Linked DNA regions of Arabidopsis thaliana. The protein of the gene in region 2 interacts with the protein of the main gene of each other region in a pairwise test. Each region holds a gene or a part of one and is shown on either strand. Other genes may lie near its edges. The genes, in order: STY17 and AT5G64550.

Region 1 (12,246 bases), on a different chromosome or scaffold from region 2:
TTTAGCAACTTTCGACTAAAATCCAGAGAGAGAAAACTAGGAGTCTTACTTCCCCAGTCAAAAGTTCCCACAGCACAATCGCGTAGCTGAAGACATCTGCCCTGTGATCATAAGGTTTGTGCTCAATGACCTGGGTTCACAGAGTCTAGTGTCAAAAGCATGGAAAGTCAAAAAAAAGAACAAGACAAAGAAGTAATACCTCTGGAGCCATCCATCGGTATGTCCCTGTTTCCGCTGTCATAACCCCTGACTCAGTCTGCACTCTGGCAACACCAAAATCGGCAACTTTGACAACCTGTCCAAAATTATGTAGAAATTAAAGACATGTACCTCTGTTCTAAGAAGATTAAAAGAATTTTGTGGAGACGGAAAGAGGAAATTAAGTTTTTTGTAGAATTTTAAAGGTTTACAAGCTGAAAAGACTACATGATCAGTGGCCAAAGATTGAGACTTACTTCATGTTCGTCCATAAGAAGATTAGCAGTCTTAAGGTCTCTATGAATAATATTGTTTTGATGCAGATAATTCATTCCTTTCGAGACGTCGAGTGCCACTTTGAGCAAAGATTGAATTTTAAAAACCCCTTTGTGTTTGTGAAGGAAATCATAAATGCTCCCCCGAGTCATGAACTCTGATACAAAAGGATAAAATCATCCGACCATGAATACATGTAAAGGCCAAAACTAGGAAATGAAATGTTACGGTATTTACTAAACAATACTCTATAGAACCTCAATGTCCTGCTGAAACAACTTTCTCACCACGCTTGAAGATACAAAACCAACAAAAAAAACGATCTAGATGGAACCAGTCTCCTATTCATAATCTACTGACAACTTACCTGTCACAATGCAGAGGTTTGGTGATCGTGTACATGCACCAATGAACTGGACAACATTTTTATGCCGAACTTTCCTACAAATAGGGAAGTATCAGTAGTGGATGTTTCTGAATATTAACTTTGTTCAATGGACACTGGTTGTTAGAAAATGAGGGAAACTCATGCATGTTTCTACGTATACACCATGAAATGGAATTTTTGGAGATTTATTAGAATACATATACTATAAGAGTACGAGTTGCAATTAGAATCAAATTGCAGCACACCTCATTATATATACTTCCTGAGAAAACTCTCGTAGCATTTCCGCATTAACACGCTCAGGCTTGAGAATTTTGATAGCTACTTCCTGACTACAATAGGTTCCTCTAAATCTGCATAGCCATTAAGAATATATAGCTGTTAATTTCCTCATATAGTATTAAAAACAAGATTTTTGAATATGAAAACTCACAGTTCCCCGTATGATCCACATGCCACCTTTTTTTCAATTTTGAGCTGCTTCATGTCAATTTCCCACTCATCAGTTCCATCCGTAGGTATTTCAACACACGCAGGTAGCAGCTCGTTGGTTGATTTGTCATGCTCAAAGAAAGTGATAGATTTCTGTTTTGAACAAGGTTGATCCTGCAGAGCAGCCAGTGTGGAATATGGAGACATGACGACTATCAAAATTGATTCAAAACATAGCAAAAAAAACATCAGTACAGTGGTGCATTCAGTTTCGGAGTGAGCTAATTCTAAACCATTACTTGCACTTTCGGAATTTAAATTATGAATGTGGCATGGAGTCTAATATAAGGAATCTCATGAAGATAAGGAATGCTCATGACAATAGACTAACAAAAGATACCTTAAACTTTCTTATCTCCTTCTTCAATGCATCTTTTAAACCTTCTGTTTCCTGTATTTCAAAAGTGTATAAAGTTGCAACCAGTTTAGATGGCAGGGGCAGAAAGGTCATCAATGGTCAATATCTTTCGAAGTCATTTACTTATTACATAAGTCACAAGTCATTTACTCAATGGTCAAAATCTTTCAAAGTCGTTTACTTAATCCATCAGTCACAAGTAACATGATGGTTCTGAAAGATGTTGTGAACCATACAGAAAACTGAAACTATACCTCCTGCGACCAGCCATCAACAACAAATACATCGAGAGAGAAACCATCGGCGGTAGAGAAAGCATGAGCCTCTTGAATATTCAATCCAAGTTCACCAAGCATGGAAGTTAGCTGGAAAGAAAACAAACCGATTCTCAGTCAGATAATGGCTTAATAGAAACATAACCACCCATTCTCTACATGACTGTATCTAATGGATCCTTAAAAGTAGAGAGGGAATCCTATACATCACTCTACTCAAACGAAGAGAAAAAGCAATTGTAAAAGAACACAAAGTCACATGTTTCCAATATCAGAGCTGACATAAAAAGAAATGGAAGAAGCAACATCACCAACCTGACTAAGGAGTTTCGGCCTGTCGATTGTAGAAAAGGTGATTTCGTGCATCGGTCTATAAGATAGACAACAAAGGATAATATCACCACACATGGTTGTAAAATTAAATCAAATAATCCTGCAAAACAGACGATACCATGCTACAAAGAACGCCTCTTCAAGTATATGCAGACAAGAAGACTCAAGTAAGTTAAGTGTCAAAAGTATATATCTCACCGAGAATTAGGCAACTGTGCATTGACAGCACTATCATCGTCTTGAGCATGATCTTTGTAAGCTTGAGTAAGAGCTTCGAAATTCGGAGAAGAACCAAAAGTTGGAGGTGCAAGAGACCTCGAGTTATAGGAGCTTTGAGCATCTTCATTGACCGCAGGATCCGAAGGATCAACGTCACCAGAATTTCCATTCAATGTGGGAGAAACCTGTAAGAAAAGTGGAAGTATGAAGAAGCAAGCAAGCAAGATTAAAAAGTGGTGAAGATGGTTAAATGATCACACCTGCACACAACGAACTTCGAAAACAGGTCTAGTAGCAGGATCTTCAGCCAATTTCAACAATCTCTGATGAGTAAGTACATCTTCTGCTCTCTCAACATTTACATCCAAAGCATATCTATACACAAAATCCATTTCAGCAGGAAGTCAAATTTGAAAACATTTATTATCATAGGATCCAAAAAGATTACCGAGCAGGAAGACGATTGAAGTGAAGCCAGAGGAGATCATCAAAACCAGGGAAATTAGCTTCTTCGTAATTGGATTCCTGGATTCGTTGAAGAACCTCACCGTACACCTCCAGTTTCATACGGTGCTGTCTAGGGCTTTCTTTCGTTATTGAAGCTACCACGGCTCTGCTTCCGCAACTCTCCTCCGTCTCCTCTTTGATCGCCATCGCAAAACAGCAGATCAGAATTGAAAAACTCTCTCAAGTAAAACCAGAATTCAACAGTAGGAGTGATCTCTTCTTCGATCCTAAATCCACAAAAAGGTAGAATGATCCCAGAGATTCAACTAAAGGCGAAAAGATTAGAGAGTGAGAAGACGGAAATTGAAGAGAAGAGAGAGAGAGGGTGTAATGTATGAGTTTGGGTTGAAAGCCAGGGAGGACATGAACGTTTCGTTGTGTAACACGTAGGACTCATCCACGTCATTATGTAGGGTCCATATGAGTGTGGGTCACGAGAATACTCTTATTTTTTTAGTTATTGTAATGCTTTAAATGGATAATGGACAGTTTTGCTTTTTTGGCTTCGAGATAAATGTATGGTGGTTTTCATGTTTATGAAGCAAAAAGAAAAGGAGATGATGGTGGATGGTGATGACTTTTTTATATATATTTTTTTTTATGTTTTGCTACTTATGATACAAATATGATGACATATTAATGGACATGTTTGTTTTTATTTCACTATTTGTTGTATAACACTATAAGTTTAATATTGGTAATTACATAAAAGTTGATCTTGTTACAACCAATAGGCAATAGCAATACGTACGAGGTACGAGTGAGCCTAAATGATAATAGGCCTTTCAAATTTCAATCCTAACGCAACAGATCATTTTTGTCGGGCCTTGTGGCCCATATTTGCTTGGTGTTGGTATTTTACACACTTTAACACAAGTAAATAAAGTGGCAAGTGGGCAACGTTCGCAAAGTTAAAGACAAAATGAAAATGGCGACAACAATATCCATATGACGACGCTTATAACCATATCCCATATCTGGTTCGGTAATTAAAATCATAAAATGTATCCAGAAACTGGAAAAATGATCAGCCGAAATAAAAATAAGAAAATGAAAAAAATGATTTTTATTCTTTTTGTCAAGAAAAAACAAGAAGAGGGGAATATTATACAGCTGTGAAAGGAAAGTGTGATGACGTGGCGTAAACCAATCAAGTACCAATGATTGGTCACTACTGCCTTCTCTTCTTCCAGATACTTTATTCTCTTCCACCAGTTCATGCTGACGTACGTTGCTTTTGCGTTTACGAAGAAGCCCTTCTTATAACTAAACTTAGGGTCCGAATGGTGACTGCATTTTGCGGTGCGGAAAAAGTGCAGTGCGGTTCAAATAGTAACGAAAATACATAGATACATATGTATATGTAGAGATTTTGATACTGTTACAGCACTGTTGCGGTGCGGTTTTGGATGCGGTTTACCAAACAATTTCAATCCTATTTGATCTTTAATTTTTCTCCAATATGAATTCATGCAACATACTTGTCGAGAAAAAAAAATGGCGTAAGAAAGGTTTAATCAAATAAGTAACGATAAGAAAAGTCATACAAATAAATTAAAAAAGTAGCTTAAGAAATGAATTGATGACCATAAGATGCGGTTAATTAAGGTAAAAGTCCATTTTACACGTATGATATAATACCAACCAGAGGAAGACACGTGTAGGAAAAAGATAAGCCAGTTGCAACGTCGGGTACGCTAAAACCACCTGAGACGCGTTTTTGGTTGGTTTATGAATCAAAATCCGGAAGATACTAACAATTAATTAATAACGAAAACCAAAAATAATTACAATATATGTGACAATGTTTTGTCTTTCATTACATGATCACCATTAGTTCTCCGATCCTTACATTATAGTATATCTTTAATAAGCCACAATAAATGATTTGAAATGTAACATACGAATTAACGTTAAAAAACGGAAGGGATGATCTAGTCATATGAAGACTTTAGTACTATCTTTTATGGTATTAGACACAAAGACAATTATTCCACTAATAAACGATTTAAGTAACAATGATAAAGCGTAGTAATGTGGAATTGTTTAATCGCGTAAGTACATATGCAAAATGAAATAATATATTTTCTTTACGAATACGTAAATAAATGAAAGAACTTAATGATGTTGAACGTCATCGCATCATCATTGCTCCACCACTCCTCTATTTATAGTCTTTTTTCATTTTATTTTTCCTCTCCACTCTTTTCACATTTGGTCCCTTTAATATTGCTTCTTCTTCTTCTTCTTCCATTTGTCTTTTATAACGAAAAATCATCTCTCCGTAGAGCACAAAAAGAGCAATAACGTAAAAGTGTGAAGAAACGAAGTAATCAAAGAGAAGAGAACAATTATGGGGCAATGCTCATCGGCGACAAAGATGAGGAGAAAGAGGAAAAGGGAAGAAGAATGTTGCAGAGAATCAATGGAGAGGAGGAATAAAGGATGTTTAGCCATGGTGAAGGAGAGACGTTCTAGGTTTTATATAGCTAGAAGATGTATTCTTATGTTGCTTTGTTGGCACAAATACGCCAATTCTTGATGAGGTTTGTGTTAGTATTCGATAATTAAACAAGTATATACGATTGATTATTTTTGTCTCTGGTCACAACTTGGGGTTTTGTTTTTAGTTAAGTTTCAACTTTCAAGCTTTAATTTGGTATCTCCACCTTTTTGTTTAACAAAAAATTGCGAACAATCTAAAGATTCTAATCACATAAGATATTCTGATTCATTCAAAAACAAGTAGAGTAGAGACATAACAGAGAAGCTATTACAGTTTTTAGTTTTCACTTCAGAGAGTTCCGACAGAATAACACGTTAACAACAGAAAATAAATGAAACCCAAAGCGTTGCCTGACAGAATCTTTGTGCTATTTTAAGGATGATCAATTACACAACCTAAATCAACAGAGAAGTTTTTGAATCCTTTGTCAAAAGGATGAAAACAGGTCATCTCGAGCCACGGGGTTCATACCTTCTCTCTGACCTCTCAGACCTTCTCTCTGATCTTCTCTCTGGGCTTCTTCCATGAGGAGAGTAAGACCGATCTCTTCTAGACCTTCTTTCATCACGAGGTGAATAGTCGCGTCTTGGTGACCTACGGTCTCTGTAATCATCACGATCATAGTGCCTCCCTCGACTGCTACGGCCTTCTCGATCTTTTTTATCAAAACAACAAAAAGATTACGGAACAGTTAGCAACCTTTCATCTGTCTAGAGAGAGACTCAATAATAACTACGAGGTTTGAAATGTTCAATTACCGCTGTCTCTGGAGCTTTTCAAGCCAAGATAGTGGCCTGGGGTGGGAGTTCTCGGGCGCTTTCTCCTGGACTGAAGAAAGCACAAAGTACATAAAGCTCATGTAATGGAACACAACTTTCAATCTAGAAAAGCCATAGGTATATTCAAGGAAACAAGATGCATCCTAGGCTGGAGAAACACTTGACTAATAGTTGTTGATACTTGATAATGTCCTTTGACTAGTTGAGAGTTGAGAGTTGAGGCAATATAGTTGCTTATGATTATGTTTAAGCTGGCGATTCGATTGATCAAGCTGTGTTTCACTTAATGATGTTGAGCAAGGATGAGTACTCTTATCATCTCTGATTGTTGCTTGATGCAATATTTTCTGAATGATCAGAAAACCTCCAAGTCAACAAATAATGATCTCAAACTACCACCAAAATCAGTAGAGCATGAAATTTTACCCTTTCCACAGTTATGTATCGGCCTTCTAGTACAGACTGGTTGAGATATTTAATGCACCGCTCAGCATCTTTAAGGCTGCTCATTGTAACAAAGGCAAAACCACGAGACACACGGGTGCGCGGCTCCATCACAAGAAAACAAGACGCAACCTATGGAAATGAAAATGGTAAACTATATGATCAAAGATTATATGCCCAAAAATGCAGACACAAAATAGACTTAAACTGGTAGTATGAGAAATGAGAATCAGGTATAGATGTTATCACCTTTCCTTCCTTGGCGAAATGTGCTTCAAGATCCTTGTCAGTGACTCTTGTAGATAGGCCAGTCACATAGAGAGTGGTACCAGGGTTTTCAACTTCACTTCTGTCAACCAAAATTCAAAATATCGCAAAAATATCAAACGAATTACAGATAACAAGAGAATGCAAACTCATATGGAGAAAGCTGGAACTAACCTTCCACGGCTTCTTGACCTTGACCTACAAAGTGTACAGGTAATGAAAAAAAGATTACCACGCAATATTCTTCAGAAATTTTCAGTGACATACCCAAAATCTACATAAGAAAACCCTATACTGCGCAATAACTAACCTTCCACGGCTTCGTGATGGAGAAACAGGCCTTGGCAAAGATCTTGACCTGGACCTAAGCCTGGGCCTGGATCTAGACCTGGACCTAGACCTGGATCTGGATCTAGCTCGTTCTTTTCGGGGTGAAGGAGATCGTGAATCCCTGATGCAGAAATCAAGTAAAAGATTACACTGAGACTTGTTACTTAGAAACATTTAGCTCTTTATCAGTCCTCTGAGCTACAAATACCCAATCAAATAGCATTTGCAACAAAACATAATTAAGAAGAACTACAACTACATAGAAAAAGACTCCAATACTAGATCTTAAAAAGTCAAAATTCCCAAAATCAATTCGTCAGATTCACAACCCTACGCAAATGTAATGCAATTCAAAATTGTTGAAACATGTAAAAAAACAAAAGAGAACGATTTAGGAACAATAACAGCTCCGAAATGCGAAGCAATAGAAACTTGAATCTAACCTTCTTCTTTGAGGAGAATCCGCCTGCAAAACGAAGTAATTACCTCAAATTTCTCGAAGATCAAGAAGAACACAGAGACTTAGTCGTGGAAGCTTACCATTGCCGAAGAAACAGAGGTCGCGATCGAGACGGAGAGAATTAGGGTTTTAGTGAGAGCAATAAAGCGTAAAATCAGTCTTTCTTTTCCCCCTTGTCTACAGATGAATTATTCAATAAAATTTTATACTATTACAAGAGTCAATAATTGCATGTAGCAAGACTCACGTTTCTTATGGTGTCTGCAACAACAAAAGAAAATAACAATAATCGTAATCAGTCCCGGATTGATATTTCCGGTCTGCGGTCTGGTTCGGTTTAATACCGCTAATTAAATATTTTGATCTGTCTAAGTGTCCATGAATCTTCGGTTTGGTTCGGGTAAACAGAACCGATAGGCACATCTAATCTTAACATTAAAAGTCGAAGCAGAAATTTTGTTTTGAACGCAGTTACACAGCATCATTATCCGATTTTGAAAAAGAAAACCGAGAAAAATAGAATATCCTCAAATTATTTTGCCTCTTCACTCACTCACGATCTCTACATTTTGCACCCCAACAAATATTTGACGACAATCACAAAAGAATGTATAAAAAAGAAACAACACAGTTAAATGTACAACAACTCAAACAACACTTTCAGCTAATATTATTCAGGATCAAAAGAAACCCCAAAACAAATGCTGAAATTTACATTGAACATTCACATTACGTGGTTAAAGTGTCAGGAAGAGCCATGGAATGAGCTCCAATGATCTTACCACCAACATCTGGGAAGGTCTCGTAATCAGGAAGAGGGCTTACTTTACCATCAACGTCTACTTGTAGAGGATACTTTATTAAGTGACCTTGTAGCTCTGAGAATTTCGGGTCTATGAATCTTTTCCAGTTTTCTTCAGAGATTGTGTTCACCTTCTTCAGACATTCCAGATCTGATGGCTCCACAAACTCATCTCCAGTTTTGCCTAAATGCTCTGCCCATAGTGACATTCTGTATCCATACACCTGTGTAGATAGATAGAGATATCATCAAGCTCTTTATGTCTTACGAAGACTCAATATATATAATGGTTCAAGAATCTGGGAGTAGAAACACAAGTTCTCTCAAGTATCTAAGAACGTGATTTTTTTCGCAAGATCGAATGCTATCCCAAATTTCTTTACTGTTTTTAAATCCAGGATTCAGGAATTTGAAACTTTCCCCATGTAGATATAGAGACACTTTTGAGGTTTGGTTATGATATAGATGATGATGATGAAGATGTTAGGAGGAAGGCAAACCTGGCCACGTGGGTGTCTTCCCTTGTGAGCCCATGTATGATTAGGTTGGTATGCGCCCATGGCGATTTCAGTATCTTTGGTGCCTGCCATAGATCTTTGGTTGATATTAGCAGATCCCATGAGTACATACTCATCATCTACTATCATCCCTTTTGCGTGCACGTAAATCATGAAACGCTGGAAATTATAAGAATCTGATACCTGAAAAATGCAGTTAAAATGATCATAAAGAAATTGTTCCACTGATTACTACAGGAAACTTTATGTATGATTTATCTATCTGTAAGCTACAGTTTTTGTGAATGAAACATTCTTAGTCTTAGAAGTTTGAAGATTATACCACACTGCCATTGGTGGCTGGCATATCATCTGGAAGCTGCTCTCGTTTACCAAGGCAGTAAAAGTTAAGGTAATCGAGAGGATGAGCATCTGATTGCACCGCTTTCAGTTCTTTTGCTATAACATCATACATCATCTGCATAGTTTGGCTCTACGAAATGAAAAGAACAGAAGATGTTTAGCAGAATGTAAGTTTCTCTTTTAAAGAAATGGAACAACCTATTTTGGTATTGGCACTTATCTTACACTCAGCTAAACAAAGTTACCTGCCAATATAGAATTTCTTGCACAGGGCCAGACTTTGGGTCGCCTTCAGGCCACAATGGTATGACAACATATACGGCAAATCTTTCCTTAGCTCTGATTTTGCTAACAATCTTTAGTGCCAACTCCATAGGAATAAGATTGTCAGCTCCTGCTCATACAAGACGAACACAGAATCAGAAAATCCGCGGGTGAAAAAGTTACTAAGCTTTATTTAATACAGTTCAGGTAACTGTGAGGTGAAAATAGAGCCACAAATACAAAACTAGTAACTGAGAACAATTCTAGACTTCATGCTGTCTGCAATGTGAGTATTTTATTTCCTAGTCTAAGAACTGTACTCAAAGATCAAAATGCACCTGCGTCTCTATAAGAAGGCCAAGCATAAGAAGAACCCAGGAAATACTGATTCTCGATATATATGAAATGCTGAGCAGATCTGATTGTCTGGATGTATGCAGTCTGGATGCTTTTATCTACAACAAGACGCTTGGCACATTCCAGATGCTGCAGTTAAATTATATTGAAGACTTTGTAAGTAGTGCAATTTCTATACCATGTGGTGGCTTATAAAGAGAAATTTCATTGAATAAACGGTGATTCTTCAAGGAAGATAATTAATAATAGCAAATAAGTTGATTGACCAACCTGGGCCTCAGCCTCATCTTCATATTTTGGAAATCCTTTCACGGATCCTGAGTCGATAGAACGGAATATCTAGAAGTCAAAGAAACCGCGTGGTTAGATCAAATCAACAACATTTGTTAACATGAAATAAGTATAGTTTGGAAGGAATCAACAAGGACCTGAACATGCCAGTTCTCTGGATCATCTTCTTTAGAAACCCAAACACATGGATCGTCCTCTGGAATTATCGAAGTACCATCCTTCAGAAATTTAAACACTGGACTCAGAATCCATGATATACGCCCTATCCGGATCAAAGCATCATCTTGCCAGTGAGTTTTCCCCTTTAAACGTAAGCTAAACTCCTTCCATCGTGTTGCCTTTCTCCATCGCTGCTCAAAGTTTATGAGAACATCATATGCCGCAGGCCCATCTATCCTACAGTGCAAATCGTGCCAAGGTTGTCTTGGGGCCTTGGTACCAGCCTGAGGAAGTAAAAACAGAGTATGTATCAGTAATAACTAAAGAATTAGGATTCAAGCTTGATAACAGCCGGTATATAATAATAAACTTACTGGAAATGTAGGATTGTGGAAATCATCCTTAAATACAGTGTCAAGATCGTGGAGTATCCTATGCTCAGGTGTGTCATAACGGCCATCACAAAGATCTAGACCTCCAATAAAAGCGGTGACCTTGCGATTATTACCAACAGCCTGAGTGTCTACAAGAACACACTTTTGATGGTGCGTGAAGAGAGTTCCAACAACCTGGCCATTAAACATCAGATATCAAAAAAGATATCCCTTGGAAAGATAATAACTATGCCAAAGCCGAAATTGACATAACATTTTGATACCCACATGTTGAAAGAGCCTTTAACTAAACAATCGAGAAACAATGGTGCGACATGGATTAGAGTCAGAACATCTCTTATAATTGAAAGTAAGCATCCACATTAACTAATTTCCAACTTTGCAATAACCCTCATCATGCGGGACTAAACCCCCTTAGCTAAAACATATCAACATCATACCAAACAAAAACTGTCATGATATATATAGAAGAGCTAGGACTTGCCTGTTGTTTGAACAACCCAAGCTTACTGCTGGCATACCGGGGTGACAAAACGCATATCACAGAAGAATGCTTGAAGAACTTCCTAGTCTCCTCATCATGTGTCCCCATAACTCCAGGCTGCAAAATAAATGTCACACAACATCTTAATGTCAAAAACACCAAATAACCTGTCAAAACATAAATTATCCTCACCAGAAACTCCAATTAACATTACAACTAGTAATCCAAAAGCTCAAAAATAGCAATACGAATCCAAAGAACTTGTGAAAACACTAACCGTTTTTATCCCAAACTTATCATGAGAAGTCTTATCATCCCATACAAGTAGCAAAACTCGAACACCTTCCTGGGATTTGTATTTGAGCAATTCCCCAAGCGTCATATCCTTATCTCTTGGAACTTTTGTTTCCCTAACAAGCTTAATCTTATGGAAGATAGACCAACCAACAATGTAAATCATATGGTGAGCCTCAGATATAGCATAACATATATCTTCCCAACACTTCCCATGCTCATAAACTTTCCCGTTATCTAACCCAATCGCCGGCAACGTTCCGTCCATAACATGAGCGTCCTGGTAAAGCCTCACCTGACTTCCTTTCCTCACAGGGAAATAAGTCCGTCTAACACCCCTACGCTCCGGATCTCCGGCGATTCCACATCGGTAGCTATGGATCTGGTCAAACGGAGTAAATTTCATATCGATGAAAATAGCAGTTTCTGCCTTAGGCGGTTTTCCCGAAGCACCGAGTACAGGAAACCAACCAGAAATGCGTTCTCCCGATGCGATGTCTCGAACCGG
Region 2 (13,351 bases):
GGTTTAGGGTAGGATTTTCTATATTGTTAATTGTTTATAGAGTTGGGCAATTGAGAGCCTTTTTCTCCAAGTTACAGTCTCTCTTTCTATAGATCTTTGATTGGGTTTAGTAGTTAGTTGTCTTGTGTCGCCGAGCCAAGCAACATCGTCTGTCTACGTCTATTATAATTATTTAATTTTTCTATGTATATATTTTTATGGGTGTTTGCTTAGCAAGCACTGACTCATGTATGATGCAAGCACCTTCGCACACATAAAAATAATAATTTTATAAAATAGGAATTGAAAGATTTTTCAAGTTGGGTTGAGAGATTAAAAGATCATTGAATATGAAGAACTTTTATGGTTTTGGTGTTACTATGTATAACTATCTCATAATTAGAATAATGTTTTCAACCTAAACAATATGGAAACCTATCTACACGATGGGTTTTTGACCAAGAAACGATTTGATATTGTTGTTCTGAACCAGAGACGTTCTAATTGTATGTGGAATTTTACGTAGCATAGCAAATATCAAGATTTCAGTCTCGTTAAGCTAAAAAACGTGGATTTCGTTAAGCTAGTGTTTAGTTGCTTCTTGGAATGCAGAATAGCAAACCAATAGAAACAAGAGAAGATGCATTTGATTAAGAAACAGAGTGCATATATTTCATTAACTTGTTTTTCTCTTTGGTTTGTTGTCTATTTATTAGCTTTCTATGTATATATGTAATCATGATTTTTTTTTAACAATCCTATGAAAAGCTGACAAAAGTTTGACGGATGGGAAGACATATAGTGGTGATTAGAAGCTTTTTTATGAACAGAAATGTTACCTTTTCGTTTTACTGGTGCTCCTCCTGATGTCTGAAAGCTGACATCCTCTTCTTGTATTTGTAACGCCCGAAAACATAATCTGGGAAGAGCCTGTTATGTGATTTCATGAAAACAAGTTGATCTTGTGTGAATGTTGGGAGTCCATCATCAGAAGGTGACCAGTCTTTGTTTCTCGTCATGGTTCGAAGTCCAGCAGAAGGTAAAGCCAAGCCTGGTTTTTGCGTCTCTGTTTCACGTCCAGCAGAAGGTGAAGCCAAGTCTGGTTTCTGCGTCATTGTTTCGAGTCCATCAGAAGGTGACGACGACAAGTCTGGTATTTGGGCCACTGTATCGAGTCTATCAACAGAAGGTGAGGAGCTATGGGTGGAGGTGGTAGTACTGGTGTTGAGATCGACTGTAAGAGTAGTAGATATGGGAGTGTGGACTGGTGAGTCGCTGGTAGTTGTGTTGAGCTGGCTAGAGGAAGGTGTTGTGGGTACTGAGTGTGAACTGGTGGTTGGTGTTTGGTTGCCAGAGAGAATTGGAGGAAAGTCCTTTTGACTATCTAGCGTATAGGGGTCAGGCCCATGGGGTAAGAGCGGAAAAAGTGGTGGTCTCTGATAAACGTAGATCAGAGACCGAGGCCGGTGCAGGTACGGGTATAGCTGCAGGTGCAGGGGATTCTGCAAACGTAATTGCAGTCTGAGTTAGTTTCTGAAACAAAAAGGGTTTATCATTGAAGAAAAAGTGTGAGTTGAGATAAACTTACAGCGCATGGAAACTGTGGACTATAATGATCATATGGGAGTTGCTGTGGTGTATAAGGAGAAGCAGCTTGTCTTGGTGTGAGGATGAATGGTTCAGCAGAAGCTTGCAGTTTGAAAGGTTTAGCAGCCTAATAAACACAGATAAAAGCAAATGAGAACTGGTTATAAACTTATGATTCTTCAGAAATCCTGATACACAATGCGTTGTAAAGTAAAAACCTTTGGTGTACAAGGACTATTTGCCAGCATATTTTCCTTGCCAGCTGAAGAAGATTGCTGAGAGCGAGTGGTTTCCTGCAAAATCACCAAAGAACTCTCAACAGACATTTCAATACATAAATGTGAGCGTAGTTGCGACAATGATACACAATATTTGCTTCTCCTGAATAGATCAATGCATTGGAAGTTCAGCATCATCTATACTTGGAATCATGTTCAACAAAAAATAGACATTTCCAACATTATCTGATTCAGCTTCGTTTGATCTAAAACAGTCATCGAAAGACATCAAGTCACTAACGTCTAGCAACTCTATGTTGTGACCATTGTGGAATATCACATGCAATGTTTCTTAAGTAAGTCAGTGATGTTCTTACCGATTCTAATCTCACAAATATGTAAACAATAAAGAGCGAAAGACGAACCTGGTTAGGTCCTGAATCGCTTATAGGGCTGCTACACTCTGTAGTCTTCTTGAGCTGACTCCGGAAGATTGAAGAACGTGCTGATCGTCCTGGATAGCTTGAAGGAGACTCATACACCTTCTTTTTAGTGGCTGATGTGACCAGAACACCATCCATCAAGATTCCTTCATCTGAGCATGAAACCGGAAAGCGCCTAGGAGGGAGTGGATCTGATTTAGCGTCCCGTAAACACTGCAGCAGGAGTGTCTTCGCATTGCTAATGTTGTAATTCCTTTTAGGAGTCACCGGACTCAAAAGTGATGACATTTTATGTTGAAAACGGCTCTGCCGGATCTTATCCATCGGCCACGTCTGGGGACTCTGCTTTGGGGTCTTGTAATCCACCTCGTTGTAGACAAACGGCTCGTCTTTGTCCATCATATTGCTACAGTAGGAGAATCTGAGATTCCTTTGTGGATCCTTGTATCACCAGACTTCAAAATGAGACTTTTTTTAATCAACATCACCAGAGGATTTGCAATCACCAAAAACCACAAAGAAAATAACAAATCACCAGAGAAGTCTCGACTTATTCACTCTTTCTCTCTGCCGCTAAAGCTTTCCGATAAGATCTGAAGAATGTAATCGAGAGCACAAGACAATAGTAAGTTTCAGATTCAATCAAAAACAAACCACCGCAGAAACATTTTCCCGCCAAAACTGGCGATGAATATTCACGAGACAACAGCAAAATCTACCAAAGATCCAAGGTTGAAATTTACCGATAATCATCATCAGAACTTGAAGAAATCAAAAGCGAGAACGATTGAAGTAGAAAACGAAGAAGAAGAACCGAAATTTCCGATCAAAACCTAGGGTTGTAGAGGAATCGGGAACGGGAAAAAAACACAGATTCAATCGCGATAGAGCTAAACCTAAAGCTCGAAATCGGAACTTAAATCATAATCACATACCTAAAAGAATCGTGATCGAGAAGCTAATTCGTCTTCCTCTGGTTCGATAGCATCACGAAGCTTGCTCAGAAAAATCTCCACGGCCAAAGAGAGAGAGAAGAGGGAAAAAATTAGTTTCAAAGAGACGAAATGTTTGTTAACCGCCTCGGTGTATATATAGGGCTAACGGAAAATATAACGGCGGAAAGATTCCGTTATCCATTTGATGACTTGGTTTGGTTGTTTCTGTATGTTGACTTTGACGCTGTTTCTTTGACCTTCCATTAAACCGGTCAAGGCGAATTAAACCAAAAGTTATTTAACCGGAAATGCTGATTCGACCCAGTAAGCTCTGTTTTTTTTTGGTACAAAACATAAGAACACATTTTACTTGTACATTGCAACATTCATAACAATGATCAAATAAACAAAGACTTGGGTTCAAGCCATCGACTAGATGGTCAAGTCAAGACCAGAGACCATACAAAAACAGAGACCCATGAAATGTACAAAGGACCCAAGAGTGAAAGAGAAACAAAAAGAAAACCAAAAAACTATACATATTACATGAAGCTTTACACAGACTCTAGCCTTGTTGTTACCACATAGAGAGGAAGCTTTCAGATTCCATCAACGGAGTGTTTGTTTCATGTTACCATTAAGCAGAGACATAAGCCCGCCACCATGAACTCTTTCCTCAGGAATCATAAAGTCAAATATGTTCCTCCCATTGCTGCCACTACTATTGTTGTTTGTTTCGATATCGGGTCTCTCGGTGTTTGAGAAGCTTAAGGATTTCATTGATGGAGGCACAAGAACCTGCATTGGTATCATCAGCTTCTGTCTTTTCTCGGGTTGATGATGCAACGGTGGCAGCGGGCGATCAATGGAGTCCATGCAATCAGAGACCGCACTGACTCCAGATTGAGAATGATCAGTGGTAGTAGTAGTAGTAGTTGCAGTTGTTGTGGTTTGTAAAGAAGTAGAGACAAGGCCACGGAAAAGTCCCGGTCCAATCAAACCAACCTTGCTTCCAGCTTTATCTTGTGACATACTGTTATGCGCAGCGCATAAACCGCTCTTTCCTCTAGCGAATTTCTCGCATTTCCAGTCTCCTCCCCATGAGCAACGTTTCCCACCACCATGTGCCTTACAGAAATCAGTGCTACCTTGCGCACTCTTCTCACAACCATCAGACTTACACCGTTTCCCACCACCGTGCTTCACGCAACAATCAGTCCTCCCACGAGCGCTCTTAGTGCACCCGGCCACAACACATCTCTTCCCACCACCGTGAGCTACACAGAAACTCGTCCCACCATGCACACTCTTAGGACAAATACCACCACCATCAAACATACAGCGTTTTCCTCCACCATGTGCTTTACAAAGCGGAGTACTACCTTCCGCTCCTTTTGTACATCCCGCAAATATGCAGCGTTTCCCACCACCATGAGCTTTGCAGTAGTTTGTACTTCCTTGAGCACCTTTTGTACAGCCTGAAGACTGACAACGCCGTCCACCACCGTGGGAAATACAGAGTCCAGCTTGTCCCTCAGCACTTCGTGTACAGCTTTCAATCCTACACCTTTTACCACCACCGTGCTTGATGCAGAGCCCAGATTTGCCACGTGCAGCCTTAGCACATCCCTCAGGGAATCCACACCGTCTTCCACCACCATGTGATATGCAGAGATCGGTTTTGCCTTCAGCACTCTTTGTGCATCCCAAGTGTTGGCATCTCTTTCCTCCGCCATGGGCTTTGCAGAAAGTAGTTTTGCTCTCAGCACCTTTGTTGCAACCTAGCTTTTGGCATCTCTGGCCACCTCCATGGCCAATGCAGAGCCCCGAAGCTCCTCTAGCTCCTTTAACACATCCCATAAACTTGCACTTCTTCGGGTTGCTCATCCTTTGCTGAGAAGACGTGGCAGAGGCCGACCTGTCAGAGAAAGCGCTTACAGAGAACTCTGACTCATGGCTCAGCTGTGAATTATAAGCATCAGTTCCACAATTAGTACTACACTCTTGCATCCTTGAAGGTTTTCTAACATTCTCCGTCCTTGGAGCGAAAAGAAGCGATGGCATATAGCCACCTGATCGCCTTGCTGAGGTAGAACCCTCATCAACAGCAGCTTGGGACACATTAGTATCCGCATATGTCAACAGAGAACCCTCAAGTCCGCTGAAAGTATCCATGGTCACAGCAGGAGGACCAAGTTGCAGGATTGAGTTACCTCCTGATGAGAGTTCCTGAACACTCCCAGAAGAAGCAGAGCCTTTGTTGTTATTATCATTGACCCTGACATTGTAATAATACGAAGGCGGTGTTGGACCCAAACCGAGAACCAACCGGCAACCACCATCAGGACAATTAGAAACATCAGAACAAAGCTTATGGTTATGGTGAGAGCTCCCAATCAATCTCCCTGCACTGCTTCCAAGACATTTCAAGCTAAGAGCAGTATCGCCGAAATTGTCAAGCTTTGCAATACCATTGCCACGAGAAAAGTGAACAACACTCTCGTTCAAATCCATATGAAGAGAAGAGACAGAACAATGCAGCGGAGGAGATAGAATGACCAAAACAATAAATACTTAGAACACCACCTTGTAGAGCTATAAACATAAAAGCAACTTGAGATATAAACATCTCCCACCGCTGACAAATCCCCATGTATCTGCCCTGTCCATCTTCAAGAATGGGTTTGCGCAAGAAACTATTCTGCAGCAGTTACAAAATCTTGTTAGTAGAAAGCTTAAGCAAGAAGATCAATAACATTACAATGACACGAGACTAATAATCAAGAAAAGCATTTGAGTCAATAGTGTAATTACAAGTTGCGGCTTGTGATGTTAAGAGATTCAAAGTACAGAGACCAATAATTGGCTACAACTGTGTCTGAAAAGGACCAAGTACCAACCAAAATGACTAATGGTGGCAACATTTTAGCCTTAGGTAAAAGTGAAACGTGAAGGACACATCTTTCTATGCTCGAAAAATTAGAAATTTCCCAAAACAACAGAATGAAAGAAAGGATAAGATAAGATTGGTTTACAGATTAGTACACAGTATTAAAAAAAAAAAAACTAAATAATTTTTGTTACTCAAAATAATTCAAGCAAAATCAGAATAATGTTAAGACTTTGAAAACTTCTTATATAACATGGAAAGTCAACTTTGTGTTTGATAAGTGATAAGTGATAACAAGAAGCAATGTCTCACGATTTTAGGTTGTAAAATAAAGATCCAAACTCAATAAACAAGATCTAAGGAAATACTAATTGTTACTATTAAACAAAAATGGAATCAACAAAGATTCTGAATCTCTATATCTCACAAGTTTCTAACTTTGAGGAAGAAGATCTAAATTCACAACAAAAAAATTAATCAAAGTTATAATCAGAGTTAATCAAACAATCATTAGAGAAATCATCATGCGTACTCTAAAAAGTTAACATCATGAAGGTTTTAAAAAAAAAAAAAAGATAAACCCTAAAAAGAGCAAGAGACAATTAGAGAAATAAGCTGAACAAATTTCAGAAAACGAAACAAAAACAAACCATGCATTCATTAATATAACACGATCAATCAGTAATAACAAGATACAAAAAAACAGTACTAAAGAAGGAATAAGAAAAAACCTGATGGATCTGAGACAGAGAGAGATTCCGTAACTCGTAAACTGAGAGTCCCTGCTTCGTCTAAAACATCGAGGAATACGAAGAAGAAGAAGAATGAAACAAAAAAAGAGACTGAAACAGGTGTCGAAATATTAGCGGGGCTACAAAAAAAGAGAGAAAAAAGAGAAGAGGAGATATTTTTATGGTTTTTATTATGAGCGTGTTTGTGTTGTGTGTTAGGCTTTTTCAGGTTCTCTCTTTCTCGTTTATAACCGCGAGTGAGGGAATCCCAATGAATTACCCAAAATACCCTCTGTCTCCGTCGATAGTAACGGTTCTGATTGGATGAGACAACGCTCTATTTTGGGTAATCAATTAAAATTTGCTTTTCGATGAAAACGACGCCGTCTTTAGTGGAGACAAAGTCTTTTATGCCCCTTGTTTTCTGTTTTCTTTCGAGTGGTAGTGATGTTGCGACAAGTCACTTCTCTGAATTAATAAAAGTATTAAACCGATTACCGTCTTAACCGGTCAGAACTGATTCCTTCCCTAATTTCTTATGACGTCATCGTAATTTTATGAACACTTGGTTTTTATTTATTTATATTGTTTTTTGGGATATTGTGAATGTTTGTAATGATGATATCAGCTGAATGAGTCTTTCGAACTTAATTGATGTATGTATATGTTTGTTTTTGTCATTTTATGTGACGCTTTTGTTAATAAACGAGACAGAAAAACGATTATTTTTTTCTCATGCCAGGAATATGGAGTAAAAAATATATAGAATTAGCTGGCATCATTAAACCTAGTATTGTTTAAAAAAATTTAATCAGATTCCACTATCCAAATGCGAAGCACTTGTGGTATCAAGCTTCAACGAAATAAAAGACTTGTGATTCTGTTTCTTTATTTTATGTTTGTACTTACATCTAGATCTATAAGACTATAAGCGAAAACGTTCAAATTTCCTCTACTCAAGCAACATACATATTCAAACATCAATTGTAATTTGTATATGTTATATGTATAGTAGGAAACAATCACAAAACAAAACAAAAATATGAAACAATGCAAATAATATCATTGATGTACGTAAATGAAATATTTCTTCGTTGGAAAATAATTGAAGTGATTAATGAGAGGAACAAAATGTTAGATGTGCGCTGGGAGAAGAAGAAGTAAGAACAATTTATTTATATAATTTGATACCAATTGTTTTGTCGTGGTGTGATGAAAATTGTCGCCAAAGGACCACAATAAAGACGAACGACTATTTTCTTTTAAATGAATGAAATTGTGATTTTTATGATGTTCCAAGAGGCAAATCCTATTACGTCAGCCAATGAGGTTCCTTGCAGAGTGGAAGAATCTATCATAATATTTTAAATAAAAATGAATTATATATCAAAGAAAAAGTACAAAAAAGGCATAAAATAAAAGGAATCTTTACTAGTCGGCGATTCCGTCAGCTTCGGCCTCAACTCTCCACGCGAAACGGCTGACGTCGACGATATTTTATACCTTCTTAATCATTTAATAACATATCTGGTAACAAATGTGTATGTGGAAACACGAAAGCCTTGTTGCAATATTTTACATCATGTTTTTAGGTTTTGACTTCATCAGCATAGGGTTTAGGACAGAGTTTGTTTCTTCGTTCGCATGCATACATTTTTATTTTATAAAATATTTTCTTCTAAAGCTCCTTATTGGATGGATTTTAAATTGACTTTGTTCAAAATAAACATCAACAGGCCCAACTCTAGCCCAATCTTCTCTGCCAATGTAATCTCAAAAACTTCTCTTTTGATAAGACTTACAAGAGAATCCAAAACACACCATTTTTGTGTGTGACAATGGAAACCTAAATCATGAAGAGACTTCAAATAGAAACGTTATAACATCAACTAGCGATATTAAAATAGGCACTAAGCCCGCGGGTCTAAACGGGCTTCAACCGATAATTATTGAAAAGTTGTCTAGCTAATAAGGAATCAAGGATCCTAAATTTGATTTCTATGCTCTAATTGTAAGGAATCGATGGTAGAGCTTATCTTTGCAATTACAAGTCACAATGCTTCTGCTTTTTTCAATATGTTTGATTAAATTTTATGATGCGACAACTAAAATAATTGTGAAGCTCGTTCAAAACTCAGAACGACCACAAGTATAATAATCGAAAACAAGATCTGCCCAATGCCCCTTCACAATCTCTCCATCTAACCCAAATTCAGCCATCAAGATCCCACAAGTCCTTTGTACCTAGCGTACGACATTATGATCACAAACACGACTACACAAAGTGTCCCCGTCAAGCCCACCACCTGCAACAACCAAAAACCCCGATAAACATAAGTTAATCTTGAGAGAGATCTTTATTTCATCCTCATGCGAATAGAATTCTGGTTTCTTACGTATTTGAACATGTATCCATGACCGTCGTTCCATGTGTATGGAATGTTCATCCCGAAAATTCCAGCGACAAGAGAGTACATCGATAAGCAAACTGTTCCAGAACTTAACACTAGCTCCAACTGCAGGATTTTGAAGATGATCAACAAAAGAAGATGACATATTAAAAAAACTTTGGCTTTCGACATTCACGTACCTGAATAAGCTGATTCCGATGATTGTCAAGCTGTGAATAGAAAACCGACGAGTTTTAGCTTTTAATATAATGACTTATATTCAGATTTCAAGAACATGTTAAAAATTTTGAGGTTTCGTTTTTGGATACCTGGATGTTAATGTAGTCCTCTGTGTCATCAATATACTCACGTAGCTGCATCAGAGTCAAAAATTAAGTTTTTAAAGTAAAAAAAGTCTGCAAAAAAGAACAGAAAGAAAAGGGAGCAAGAGGATAACTGTTGTTAATCTGTTCAAAGTGCTGTCGATCTGCATGAAGTATGCCTGTAAAGATATCAAGACGTGTGTATTTGGACTTGGCATTTGAATGGAAGATAGATCAGAATCAGATAAAAGATTTTGTGCAGGATCAACAAACCTCGAGTAACATTTCAAGTTCTTCAACATCATTCTCATCCCCATGAACTGTGGCTAAACTCGCTCTACTTGCTCTTGAAATCTTAGAGCCTATTGTTGGGGAAGTAGTATACCAATTTGGTTCACCAATACTACTAATCGGTGAGGAAGCACTTGAAAGTTTCCTTGAAAGGTAAAGATCTGCCATATCATCGTCATCATCCAGCAACTGTTCGAGTTCATCTCTTACCTGCAAAAGGCGATGAAGCTACTTAGTTCTCTATTCATATTACAAACTTTACAAATACTCATAAGTCATAAGAAAAAGATACCTGCTCACCTTTTGAACCCGAGCTGTCAACCGAGTCATGGCACTCTTCAATTTCCGAACTCTATCCAAATTACGGCTACTAATCTACAAGACGAATGTAAAAATGTAGTTGAAAACTGGATCACTGGTGATAATAAATCATTGAGGTACCTACCTTTGAGGTAAGCTCATCCAAAGCAGGATAAGCAGCTGTTTCTAATTCTGCTGTCCTTGCAGCTAAGAAGCTACAGATTGCTTCCAAAGCTACTTCCAGCGCCCGAAATTCAAATGGGGATTCTATATTGCAACAAGCAGACATTTCAACATATATGAAAAGGCAAATTAAGGGTCATCAAAAAGGAGATGAATTTCACAGAGTTTAGATGGTTTAGGAAAAGAGCCAAGAGTCTCTAGGGACAATACCATCTTCGTCACCAGTATCACCGTCGTTTTGAGCACCTGCGATCTCTTTCCCGTCTCCTTGACCACCATTGTGTGATGCATTTCCAACAGGTAAGCGTCTTCGAAGCTCCTCCACAACTGGAATAACATTTTCATCAGACGGATCCCGAAGCAAAACCTGTAATAAGCCCAAGTCATTACTACAAGAAGAGAACTCAAAAGCTATACTCCTCTAAGCATTCCATAGTGCTAAATAGATCAAAGCCTGGCTGATATTATGAACTTTCAACACACTATAGCATAGTAAGAACAGAACTGAAAAATTAGCCAAATTTTTGCCTAGTTCAGTGATTGCTCAAGTTCCTTAACACATTGTCAGCATTTTGAAAAACTGGCTACAAGAAAGAATCAAACTTTAACATGAACATCTGCATATTCAGAAAAAAATCTACCTAACAAAATAAAAATCGAAACTTTTTACTGCAAAAACCCTACAAATCTAAGTGTGGTAAGCAAAGGAATCAAAGAGTAAACTACTAACCTCTTCGGAAGTGATAATAGCCTTGATATGCTGCATAAAGAAGAAGGAACAAAACTAATTACACTCTGAAACAAAAACAAAACCCAGAAACAATGAATGCCTGAAGAACCAAAAAACAGAACCAAACCTCCAAATTGAGAACAATGGCTCTCTCTCGGCCAAGAATAGTGGAAGGGTAAGATAAATTGGGGTCTAGAATCCGGAGATCGCGAGCGTGGATCTGGACACGGTGCATGATCTCATACTTATCAACATCGAGTGGCTCACTCTGTCCCGTCGCGTCAATAAGAGCCCACGACGCTTGTGGCGTTTTCTTCTTCACCGTCACAACCGCCGAAGGATCCGCTGGAACCAAGTACCCGTTTTGCGCCATGTCTTTCAAAAACTAAAAAAAACTACCTCACCGTCCACTTCCACGCCGTCTGTAAAATTCAGAGCACCAGCATCAACACAACAGTCGAATTCTTCATCAAAAAAAAAAAAGCGAACAAGAGAATCTGACCTTGTTGAGCTCAAGTGTTCATGCGAATTCGACGGAGAAAACAATACTCTAAAGGATTCAGAAAAGCGAATTCTCGTCCTGTCTGCTCTTTTTTCATTAAAAAGATTTTCGGAAATCTTTCTTTCTAGATTTTTGTTTAGGTTTGGTTTTTTTGCTTTGTGAGAGAGTTTTACAGTTTCAGAAAAAAAGGAAAACGTGATATATTCTGTTAGAGGTGAATCTTATTTATATTTAAAATGTAAACCGCAATAAACCGGTAATAATAACCCTGATTTCTGGTAAATGTTGTTCATATTTGAGTCGAATCACCTAAATTCGACACAAAACCCGGTTTAGTTTAGATTAAGAAAATAAAAATTAATTTATTTTTGATCGGGATATACTACGAGTTTATCTGCTTGTTATCAGAATTATTAGTTTGAGCAACTAATTAAAAAAAAAAAGACTAAATTTACTTAAATTGAAATACCAAACATAAATCTAACTCTAACTGATATTAGCTAGATTTATGTTACACATGAATTACACATGATATATTTTAGATATTCGAATTATGTTTATATATGCCCCACATTTTCGGCTACTAATGCTATAATTTTAAAGAGATTCACAATTTCTTTTTTTTATTACTTTTCTTTTCCAACTTGCAAAAGCTTAAGCATATTAATATTCTTTTTTTCTTCCTCAAATAAAAATATAGAATCAGATTCTAATGCTTAAGGAATGTTTTAAATCTCCGACATGAAGAAGATGCTTTCCCAAACCAATCTTCCTCTTCCCAATCTCATCAACCACACTCAGATCTTTACATATCTCTACCTTAAACCTAACCACCGCTTCTTCCCTCTTCCCCAATCGAATCTTCTCGAATCCTACCAAATGCTTCCTCGGCGATCCGTGAATCGCCGGCGGCGTCGTGAATAGAAACACCGTGTGAATCCCTTCTCTATCTCCTCCGTTTCGTACCTTGATATGAACTTCAAACGCCGATCCACCGCCGGAGACAGCGTTTTCGCAGTGCGGTCCGATCGCGTCTAGCGATTGACATTCCGATGATCGGCAAACGTGATTCTCTTCGAGACCGAGAGAAACGAGACTTGGAGCTTTGACTAAAGTGTGACTGAATTTGGTGTAGCTGAGTCCATCTCCGAATGCGTATACTGTTTCTCCGGTGTAGAATCGGTAAGTCCGACCCGGATACCCGCTTGCTTTATCGGGTCTCATGTTCATTATTGTCATCGGAACTTTCTCTACATACGACTGTGGATACCACGTCATCGGTAATTTCCCACCTACATAACCAAAACCGGTTTATTCAAATTTGCAATTACAAAAACCGGTTTGAAACAGAGTCTCTTACTTGGATTATAACGGCCAAAGATGATATCAGCAATGGCGATACCACCGGCTTCTCCGGGATAACCAACCCACAAAATTCCGGCGATCTTTGGGTCATTCTTAGCGAATGTAATATCGAAACCTCCACCGGACATAATGACGAGCAAGACCGGTCCTTTTGCTGCTTTAGCCACTTGGATCACCAGCTCTTGTTGCTGTCCAGGAAGATGCAGGTCGACTCTGTCTCGGCTCTCTGCCTCGATTGATTGATCGGCACCGATCACAAGCACAGACACATCTGCAGTGGCTGCTAGTTTCGTGGCGCCGGCTACATCCGCTACAGCACAAGCTACATTGGAGCAGCCTGGTAGATATGTTGTAGATACCGTCCCGGCTAGTCCTTGTAGTGGTGTTGTGTATTTACACGGCGTGCCTTCGTAGTTTCCAATCATTGTTTTGGTGACATTCGCGTTTGGTCCAATCACGGCTAGTGTTTTGATCGATTTAGGAG

Evidence for each region.
Region 1: the proteins of AT5G64550 (region 2) and STY17 interact in a two-hybrid assay, tested with the Arabidopsis thaliana proteins (one large-scale study listed by BioGRID).

The regions. Positions count from the first base shown.
Region 1 is NC_003075.7:16,947,213-16,959,458, forward strand, and holds the start of STY17 (ACT-like protein tyrosine kinase family protein), read right to left. Parts: upstream 3,409-12,246; 5' UTR 3,194-3,408; coding exon 2,988-3,193; intron 2,915-2,987; coding exon 2,800-2,914; intron 2,725-2,799; coding exon 2,519-2,724; intron 2,358-2,518; coding exon 2,303-2,357; intron 2,078-2,302; coding exon 1,967-2,077; intron 1,746-1,966; coding exon 1,695-1,745; intron 1,469-1,694; coding exon 1,296-1,468; intron 1,216-1,295; coding exon 1,108-1,215; intron 916-1,107; coding exon 842-915; intron 632-841; coding exon 456-631; intron 296-455; coding exon 200-295; intron 131-199; coding exon 50-130; intron 1-49. Other genes in the region: RTFL6 (ROTUNDIFOLIA like 6), read left to right, coding at 5,400-5,588; AT4G35785 (RNA-binding (RRM/RBD/RNP motifs) family protein), read right to left, coding at 5,999-6,207, 6,311-6,380, 6,758-6,907, 7,025-7,124, 7,217-7,240, 7,353-7,493, 7,816-7,838, 7,913-7,915; PLDDELTA (phospholipase D delta), read right to left, coding at 8,562-8,858, 9,135-9,335, 9,475-9,624, 9,740-9,888, 10,097-10,244, 10,386-10,454, 10,544-10,849, 10,940-11,134 and 2 more. UniProt on the Arabidopsis thaliana protein: Serine/threonine protein kinase that specifically phosphorylates chloroplast precursor proteins in the cytosol within the cleavable presequences (transit peptides). May be part of a cytosolic regulatory network involved in chloroplast protein import.
Region 2 is NC_003076.8:25,798,023-25,811,373, forward strand, and holds AT5G64550 (loricrin-like protein), read right to left. Parts: upstream 6,959-13,351; 5' UTR 6,784-6,958; intron 5,864-6,783; 5' UTR 5,677-5,863; coding exon 3,772-5,676; 3' UTR 3,506-3,771; downstream 1-3,505. Other genes in the region: AT5G64540 (mucin-like protein), read right to left, coding at 828-1,481, 1,568-1,693, 1,785-1,859, 2,210-2,629; MGT9 (magnesium transporter 9), read right to left, coding at 9,003-9,089, 9,180-9,299, 9,374-9,403, 9,503-9,547, 9,631-9,675, 9,770-9,997, 10,088-10,162, 10,233-10,354 and 3 more; XYL4 (beta-D-xylosidase 4), read right to left, coding at 12,205-12,794, 12,863-13,351.